Linked DNA regions of Drosophila melanogaster. The protein of the gene in region 1 purifies or fractionates together with the protein of each later gene. This does not show direct contact. Each region holds a gene or a part of one and is shown in the gene's direction. Other genes may lie near its edges.

Region 1 (4,787 bases):
GTGTCTTCTCGCGTCTGTTAAAAATAATGGGGCTCTTAGCTTTTCGTGGTGGAGCCTCCAATTTCGGGGGATCCTCTTCTGGCTCCTGGTCTACAGACTCCTCCCTCGCGCTCAAGTTCAACAGATCCTCATCATATTCATCGCTTTCATCCCCGATCTCGCCAATCTGGCGTAAATGCTTCTTGGCTGCATGAATTTTCTTTTGGATTTCGGCCAGCTCAGCGAGGTCTTTTTGCCGGTTAACACCGATAGTAGTTGAGATGATCTCAGACACAGCGGGCACATCCAGCGCCCTATTGGCCGATGCATCCTCATCCTCGATGGACTTGCGATTTTTCTTTTTGTGCAGGATCTCGTCTTTGGCACTGAGATCAATGTCCATGGTTTTCTTTGCCTTCTCGAGAAGCTCTTCGGCAAAAACATCCGTGATGGAACTGACAATTGGCATGGCATCTGAGGAACTTGGCTGTGGTTCCGACAGCTCATCTCCGGACTTTCGGTGCGGTCGCTTATCCTTCTTGGATCCTTTTTTGTCCTTCTCCTGACCGCGAGACTTGCGCTTCTTGCTGGAAGCTGAAAAAATTGGAGTTAGTGGGTGCTTAAGTATGATGAGCATATCCATCATACCACTGGATGTGGGGAGTGTGACCTCTTGGAGCTTTTGCAGCACTTCGTGCAGCCAGGTGACAAAGAGGTCAGTTTGATCGCCTAGGAATAGATTCAGCTCGGCGTTCATCTGCTGTTTGGTGCGCTTGTTGGCCACCATGACCATGACGTAGTCCGGCAATTCATCGTCTATAAAACCGGCCGATCCTCCGGTTCCCAGCTCCAGCAGCTTTGCCTTTACGGCGCTCTATTAATGAAGTGCAAAAATATATATAGTATTGGAGTATCCAATCCGAGCGGTATCCATAACGAGTTCATTGATTTTTTTCCAATGACTTACGCGCATCTTCTGACCAATCTCGCTGCCCAGATTGCACTCCATGTTTGCTGGTTTATCTATCGCCTTTTTCGCTGTTTATTCGCCGCGAGCATTTATTATTTACGCTTACTTTGTGGCTACACTCCACTTTTTGTTACATTAGAAAATGGCAAAACCTCCCAAAAAAAAAAAATATCGCAGCTGCTCCGATATTCATAACTAGTGGTGTGCGTTTGACATTAAGGGTATTCACGTTTAATTCACACGTTTTATAATGTATATATCGATTTTCTATAAACATAGCTTTAAAATAATAAATAGTTACAGAAATTTCATTTGAAATTAAAATGGCAAATTAAAAACTTCTGAAATTTAAAAATGCTCCTGGCCATGGCCATGAACTGAAGTGCAACATAACTTCAAAATAATCAACACCAATGGGACAATTTAAAAATATAAAAAGATTTCACTTGTTATTCATTAAATCATAAGTCTAGTTATCAAGAATTTGTGTAGTAGCTATTAAATTACATTCGAAAATTAAAAGCGAATAATTGCAAACAGTTTATTTAATCACATAGCTAAATATAAATTTCATAATAAGCTTAAATTCCAAACCAATGGCTACGAATATGTTTGACTGAGAATTAAAATTCTCAATTTGAAGTAAATATCTTAGATTGTAGAATCCTGCGAAGCATTTCAGTGCATCATCTCAAATTCAAATACGAAAATTGGCTCCTTCGGCTAAGACTCGATACCCATCTTGTGAGCCCCGCCACCAACTATCGATACGCAAAGGCATTTCATTCGGTGGGAATGGCAATCGAGTGTCACACGGGAAGAAGAAGCTGCGAAAAGAATTTTAGAAGAAAGCAACTGCAATTTTGTCATAATCGGAGCTGCAATTCGCAATGAATAATGGAAACTAGACAACCCAGTTCCGGTGATGATCTAAAGCCAGGTGCGTACCGCCCGGTGGCGCAGCGAGTGCGTCCAACGGGGCTACCAAAGGCAGCCCCTTTGACTTTGTGAAATGTGTGTCTGTGTTTCGCTCGCCCTTCGAATCGAATGGCTGCGTTTTTTCGACTGCGTTTCGCCAAGCGAAATTCACGGGCCCCTTTGGCCAGATATATCTGGAATATTGACGACTCCCAGCGAGCGCATTTTCGACAACTTGTTGCACTAAAACCCGTGAAATCCTCTATCTTGCAGAGCTGTACTTCCTCATTTCCAAGTTCCTGGCCGCGGGACCGCTGGAGGAGACGGCGAAGGTGGGTTGAAAGCAGCGCTCGCGCGAGATCGCATTGGAATCGTATTTCGCGCTAAAAGAGCGGAATTTCGTTTTGTTTACAAACATTTACATTAATTCTGAAACTAAATTCTATCCAACTGTAGGTCTTGATCCGGGAACTCGAAGAGAAGAAGGTGAGTTTTGTTGGTGCTGCAGCTGTGTTTTTGGCACAGATATTTCGGACTCGAATTGAGAGGGGGGCCAAAAAAAAAATAGAAAACCGCGTTTGTTTATACGCTTTGTTTTGGTTTTGTTGTTGTTTCTGCTGCCGGCAGCGAACGACGAAAAACCCACTTGTACGTCCGCTTGTCTCAGAGTTGGGAATCAGACTGAATTGTGGATTTGCTGGGGCCACGTGAATATATAGTCCATTAAAAAAAGAAGAGAAAAACATGAAAAAAGAAATGGAATCATAGGGATGCCCCCGCGACGTCATCGTCGACGTCACGGAGTGCAAGTGATAAGAGTCATACATGCATGCATATATATTTACACCCGTCTATATATACGTACACCTTTCGATTCCCAGGTTTTGCCGCGTCGTCTCGATTGGCAGGGAAACGAGCATGAGCAGACCTTTGAGGAATTGGTGAGTGTTTTCATAATTAATCAATTAGCTTTTCAAAGTTATCGTTTAATGCCTTTTGATCGGCATTTAAGTCTTGCGTAAGTGTGCGTCTGCTGCGGCATTTTCCGTCTCAGTCGTTCGCTCGCCTTTGTGACGTCATCGTGTCAGGGAATAGAGAAAAAGTTGCACATCAAAATTCAAGTTGTTAATTTAAAAAACATTACAACTAAAGACATCAATCATTCTGACTGTTAAATTAACAAATAAGTAAGCAACTATTTAATTAAAAAGGCAGCAAAAAATTGCAAAAATTCGTAAAAGACTAAAGTGGAAAGCAAAAATTCTAAAACCCTCGTAAAAATTGTAAATTTTGAAAAATCTTAATTTTTTAAACAAATGCTTTGTAATTTAGTTTTAACAATTAGCTGCAACCAGCCGACATTTTGGTTTCTCACACATACACATGCCCATGCGCACAGACACATGCAAGCAACCACCACTTTGCCTTGACTTGTGCGCGAGGGAACGAGACAAGCATACGTTGTTGAAGCTATCGCACCGTTTATCGCCCAATCGATAGGAATACGTTAAATTTTGATTTTGAATTCGCAGGAACGAAAGTACAAGCACATTGGCGCCAATCACTTGCTTGAAATATGCAGTCGTCTGGGTCCACTGGTGGATCGCGAGCTTCCGCCCAGTGTTCCGGGCATCAACTCGCTGTTGGGTACTGGGCGCCAGAACCTCCTGCGCACCAAGGAAACCGTCTACTGCCATCGCTCCTTAAGGGACTACTGCACCCGCCTGAATGGAGTCTCGCTGCCGGATTCGGTCCTTACAAAGCCGACCCACAACTTAGGTTAGTTGCATGGTAGAGTTTTATTCGCATATTAGAGACTAACCCATTTATATTTCCAAAGATCGCGTTCTAACTGGACGGGAACACGGCGGGGAAGTCCGTCGCAAGCTCCTCGTGCCCACGGACCTCTACCGCCGAACAAAATTGCTCCGTCGCACTGTGGGCCACCTGTCCTCAGTGTACTGTGTTCTGTTTGATCGCACAGGAAGATACATCATCACCGGAGCCGATGATCTACTTATTAAGATATGGTCAGCGGCAGATGGCCGCCTGCTGGCCACTCTGCGAGGCGCCTCATCCGAGATTACAGACATAGCCATTAACTTGGACAATACGATGCTGGCTGCCGGGTCATTGGATCACATACTAAGAGTGTGGGACATGCAAACCACATCACCCATCGCCGTACTGTCTGCTCACACGGGCATGATAACTTCGGTTAACTTTTGTCCGTCGCCACGTAGCGATCTGAAATATCTGGTGACTACCAGCACAGATGGATCGATCGCCTTCTGGCAATACTCAACGCCGCGCGGGCAAAAGATCACGTTTGCCCCGAAGCCAACGCAGTATCATGAGAAACTGCGGCCCGGACAAGCTCAGATGATGTGTACCACCTTTTCGCCAGGAGGCATTTTTCTGGCCGCTGGGTCTGCCGATCACCATGTGCGCGTCTATATGATGGGCGAGGACGGTCCGAAGCGAATATTGGAGACGGAAGCTTACACAGATGCCGTGGACTCGGTGCAGTGGTCGCATCGTGGACTGAGATTTATATCGGGGAGCAAGGACGGCACAGCACACATCTGGACGTTTGAGTCGCAGCAGTGGAAAAGTTCCAAACTATGCATGACGGAGCGTCTGGCCAGGTGAGTGCGATTTTCTTTAAAATGTTTCTAGCTAGTAAGGAATTCTCTGAAAACTAATAGCTTTGTAATTAAATTGCAGCTGCCCGGAACCAGAGGAGGGAAAGAGGCTTAAGGTAACCATGGTGGCTTGGGATGCCTCGGACCGTTATGTCATCACCGCCGTAAACGATTTTACTGTAAGCATCCGTCTTAAAACGTGCTAAACATTTACTTATAATTAATAATCCCATTTAAAAACAGATAAAAATCTGGGACTCGAAGTCAGCCAAGCT
Region 2 (3,891 bases), on another chromosome or scaffold:
GCATTTTTATGAAAATAACACACAAGTTTTTAACATTTTTCCAACACCTATTTTATTATCACTTTCAAACATTTGTTTACACTTGAACAATAATTGTAAACTATTTTATTTTTAAGCACTTGTAATTCTTGTTATCAAAAACCTGTGAGTATATAGGGTTATCATACACTTGTGCATCAAGTTTTGGTTTGTTGTTGTTCTTATTAATTGTCTATTAAATTAATAATAGTCGAGAATCCTTCAGCCTAACTTGGCAACAGTTAGTAATAGATTTGAAAACAAGCGGAAAACCTCCAGCCATTATTACAGATTATCCTTATCAGGACAAAAAGCAGACATACATTTTATGTAAAAGTTAACAAACAACTTTATTGAAAATCATTCCTGTCCAAAGATCATTGTAAATTTTAAGTTCTGAAAAATGATGATAAGATAGAATGGTCTGCGCAAAGGTTGACAAATATATATTTTATAATTATGAATAAAACTACAAACATATTTGATTAGCCACAAAATATTATTCCATTTAGATAGATAATAATTTGGCTGTTTATTGCTGCATACTTAATATATGGTAAATAATAAAATAATATAATATATATAAATATATATAGTCTAGTGGGGGGGGTCTAGTCCCCCCTAGAGTTTCTTTGATTTCTACTACTGGCTTGGTAGAGTGGTTCCTCCATTCTTATCGATGACATCGTTTATGGGAGTCTTGAGGATTATTTACGAGCCCTTTTCGAGTTGCAGATATGGTTTTAGCTGAAAATGTGTATAAAAGGCTGCCATCCGAGAGTAGAATCCAGTATAAACATCAGCATGAAGGTGTTCCTAGCTATCCTGGCTCTGGCCGTGGCTTCGGCCTCCGCCTTCGACGAGAAGGTCTTCGTAAAGGACCTGCCCAAGGCCACCAAGATTGAGGGTCGTATCACCAACGGATACGCCGCCCCCGAGGGTAAGGCTCCCTACACTGTGGGTCTTGGCTTCAGCGGAGGCTGGTGGTGCGGTGGCTCCATCATCGCCCACGACTGGGTCCTGACTGCCGAGCACTGCATCGGAGATGCCGCTTCCGTGATCGTTTACTTCGGTGCCACCTGGCGCACCAACGCCCAGTTCACCCACACCGTTGGCAACGGCAACTTCATCAAGCATTCCAACGCTGATATCGCCCTGATCCGCATCCCCCACGTCGACTTCTGGCACATGGTGAACAAGGTGGAGCTCCCCAGCTACAACGACCGTTACAACAACTACAACGAATGGTGGGCCGTCGCTTGCGGATGGGGTGGCACCTACGACGGCAGCCCACTGCCCGACTGGCTGCAGTGCGTCGATCTCCAGATCGTCCACAACGAAGAGTGCGGCTGGACCTACGGCAGCGTTGGCGACAACGTCATCTGCACCCGCACCGTCGACGGCAAGTCCATTTGCGGAGGTGACTCTGGCGGTCCCCTTGTCACACACGACGGCTCCAAGCTGGTGGGAGTTAGCAACTTCGTCTCCTCCAACGGCTGCCAGTCGGGTGCTCCTGCTGGATTCCAGCGCGTCACCTACCACTTGGACTGGATCCGTGACCACACTGGCATCTCTTACTAATTTTTCTAAATAAATCGATCATTTTAAAAGCAATACGTTTCGAGAGTATATAAATCGGGGTCACCAACAAAATGTATGTGTTCTACACTTGTTTTACGCAGTGTAAAACAAATTTTACTCGTGTGTAGAAACCACGGCGTAAGATTACACAAATAATTTTTGTAGCAGTTTTGTGTGAATGCCAAAGCAACAGCTGATTGCTATCAAGTAAACAATTAATTACGTTTTTGCCGTGCACCAAAGGATTGAGTTGGGAGTGCTTTGTTGGTGCGTAGATCACGTAACCGGAGGCGGCAGCATGTGCACTCTGCACCCCGAGGAGGAAGCTCACCTGATGGCCATGGCCAGCGGAGGACAACCAACGCGTACGGCCAGTCCAAGGCCATTGGTCACCGCCTCCATTGCAGCACCACGATCGCTGTTTGATGTCTGCTGGGACGATGTGCTCATCCCGCAGGTTGCCGTCTACCTGTCGCTCAAGGATCTCTTCAACCTGCGCTGCTGCTCCCGTACCGCACAACGCTTTGTGGAGGCTGCGCTGGAAAAAAGGCAGGAACTTCATCTCTCTGGGAACAACACAAAGAATATCGACGTGGCCTTTCGAGTGCTGGCCCGATGTTGCCAACGATTGGAGGTGCTTCATCTGGCCTGCTGCCGATGGCTAACAGATGAGCTGCTGCTGCCACTGCTGGCCAACAACAAGAAACGCCTGTGGGCCGTCAACCTGAACGAATGCGTCAACATCACGGCCCTTTCGCTGCAGCCGATCATAGTGGAGTGCAAGGAGCTGCGCGTACTCAAGCTGTCCAAGTGCCAGTGGCTGACCACGGGAGCAGTGGACGCTTTGACGCTGCACCAAAGCAAGCTGGTGGAGTTCGACATCTCCTATTGCGGCGCAATTGGAGAGCGCTGCTTGATTATCTTCTTCAGGAAACTTAACAAGCTCACCGTCCTGTCGCTGGCAAATACGCCCAGTGTCACCGATCAGGTGCTCATCCAAATCGGGAACTATTGCCGCGAACTGGAGCACATCAACGTGATCGGGTGTGCGGCTATCTCCGACTATGGCGTGCAGTAAGTAATACTCGTAGTTATCCCTAAAAGCTGTTGTCATATTGTCAGTAAACCTGTGCGTGCCTTGTGTCTGTGTGTTTCTGGGGAAACCAATCTCCATCTGCATCCGCATCTGCGTATTTTCAGCGCTTTGACAGTGCACTGTTTGCGGCTACGGACCTTGCTCATTCGACGTTGTCCGCGGGTCACAGAACTCTCCCTGGCGCCGCTCCGCCAGCGGCGTCTTTACATCGATAGGCCACAGCCGGATGTGGGGCTCAACGCTTACAACTTGAACGACTTCTATCCCAGCGATTTCCTTGTTTACTAGCCCACACTTCGTTCTCCCTCTTCCGCAGTGCCCTCACCTCCAGTTGCCCGCTGCTGCAGTCACTGATGGTGCAGCGCTGCCCATTGGTCACCGAGCGTGTGCTCGCCCCACTTCGTGGACGGGTCCACATCGATCGGCCCGGCATGGGCTACATGCCAACTGTGCAACATCACCGCCTGTTCCTGCAGGTTTGAGATTAATTCTGATTCCGGGCCAATATTACCAATGTACCAAGGAGGCTTTCGAGGCTATCCAATACTTTTGCTGTAAATACATGCCTCAGCATGGGACGCTTTAATTTACTTTTAAGCTTAATCTTACACATTGTTAACATTAATTTAGGCTGTACAATAAACATACTAACTTATTCATCTCTCTCTCCAAAAGCTCGAGCTTTTTGCATTAAAATACATGTAAACCAGAAAGTAAGCTAGAATCGGCAAGCCGAAACTTATATACCCTTGCAGTAATTATAACATTTATACCGATTAAAAACAACGACCCGTTCATGCAGATTGCTAAACTAAGAGACTATTTGGCATAGAAACTGACAGACGGACATGGCCGTATCGACTCCGCTGGTGATACTGATATATAGTTTATATGGTCGCAAATGCCTCATCCACTGCGCTACAAACTTTTCGATAAAATAAATATACTAACTGCAAGGGCATAAAAAGCGTGGCTAAAATGTGGCCAATATAAATACAATAGTGTGCTTTAACTTTCCCCTCGTGCTTTGTGCGGCTTCCCATCATTGTGCTGAAATTAATGGCGAGTTAGAGGTAGTTGTTGTGGATGTCGCCTCGACCCCCTTTGACAGGTGGAGTTGTTGCTTGAATGCAGAGCTTACACTAATATCCTCGTCGCCTCGGCCATCTGCGGACCGCCACTGCTCATGCAGATGC

What was found.
Region 2: the proteins of BRWD3 (region 1) and jet purify together in Drosophila melanogaster (affinity purification with western blotting, with the first as the bait; one study listed by BioGRID). This does not show direct contact.

What each region holds. Positions count from the first base shown.
Region 1 is NT_033777.3:24,317,269-24,322,055, forward strand, and holds the start of BRWD3 (BRWD3), read left to right. Parts: upstream 1-1,731; 5' UTR 1,732-1,846; coding exon 1,847-1,889; exon of another isoform or gene 1,890-2,140; coding exon 2,141-2,199; exon of another isoform or gene 2,200-2,323; coding exon 2,324-2,353; exon of another isoform or gene 2,354-2,514; intron 2,515-2,748; coding exon 2,749-2,808; intron 2,809-3,399; coding exon 3,400-3,646; intron 3,647-3,707; coding exon 3,708-4,515; intron 4,516-4,594; coding exon 4,595-4,691; intron 4,692-4,755; coding exon 4,756-4,787. Other genes in the region: Nab2 (nuclear polyadenosine RNA-binding 2), read right to left, coding at 1-573, 628-853, 947-988.
Region 2 is NT_033779.5:4,947,680-4,951,570, reverse strand, and holds jet (jetlag), read left to right. Parts: upstream 1-1,786; 5' UTR 1,787-1,897; coding exon 1,898-2,673; intron 2,674-2,799; coding exon 2,800-2,983; 3' UTR 2,984-3,011; coding exon of another isoform or gene 3,012-3,177; 3' UTR 3,178-3,365; downstream 3,366-3,891. Other genes in the region: Jon25Biii (jonah 25Biii), read left to right, coding at 823-1,599; betaggt-I (beta subunit of type I geranylgeranyl transferase), read right to left, coding at 3,738-3,891.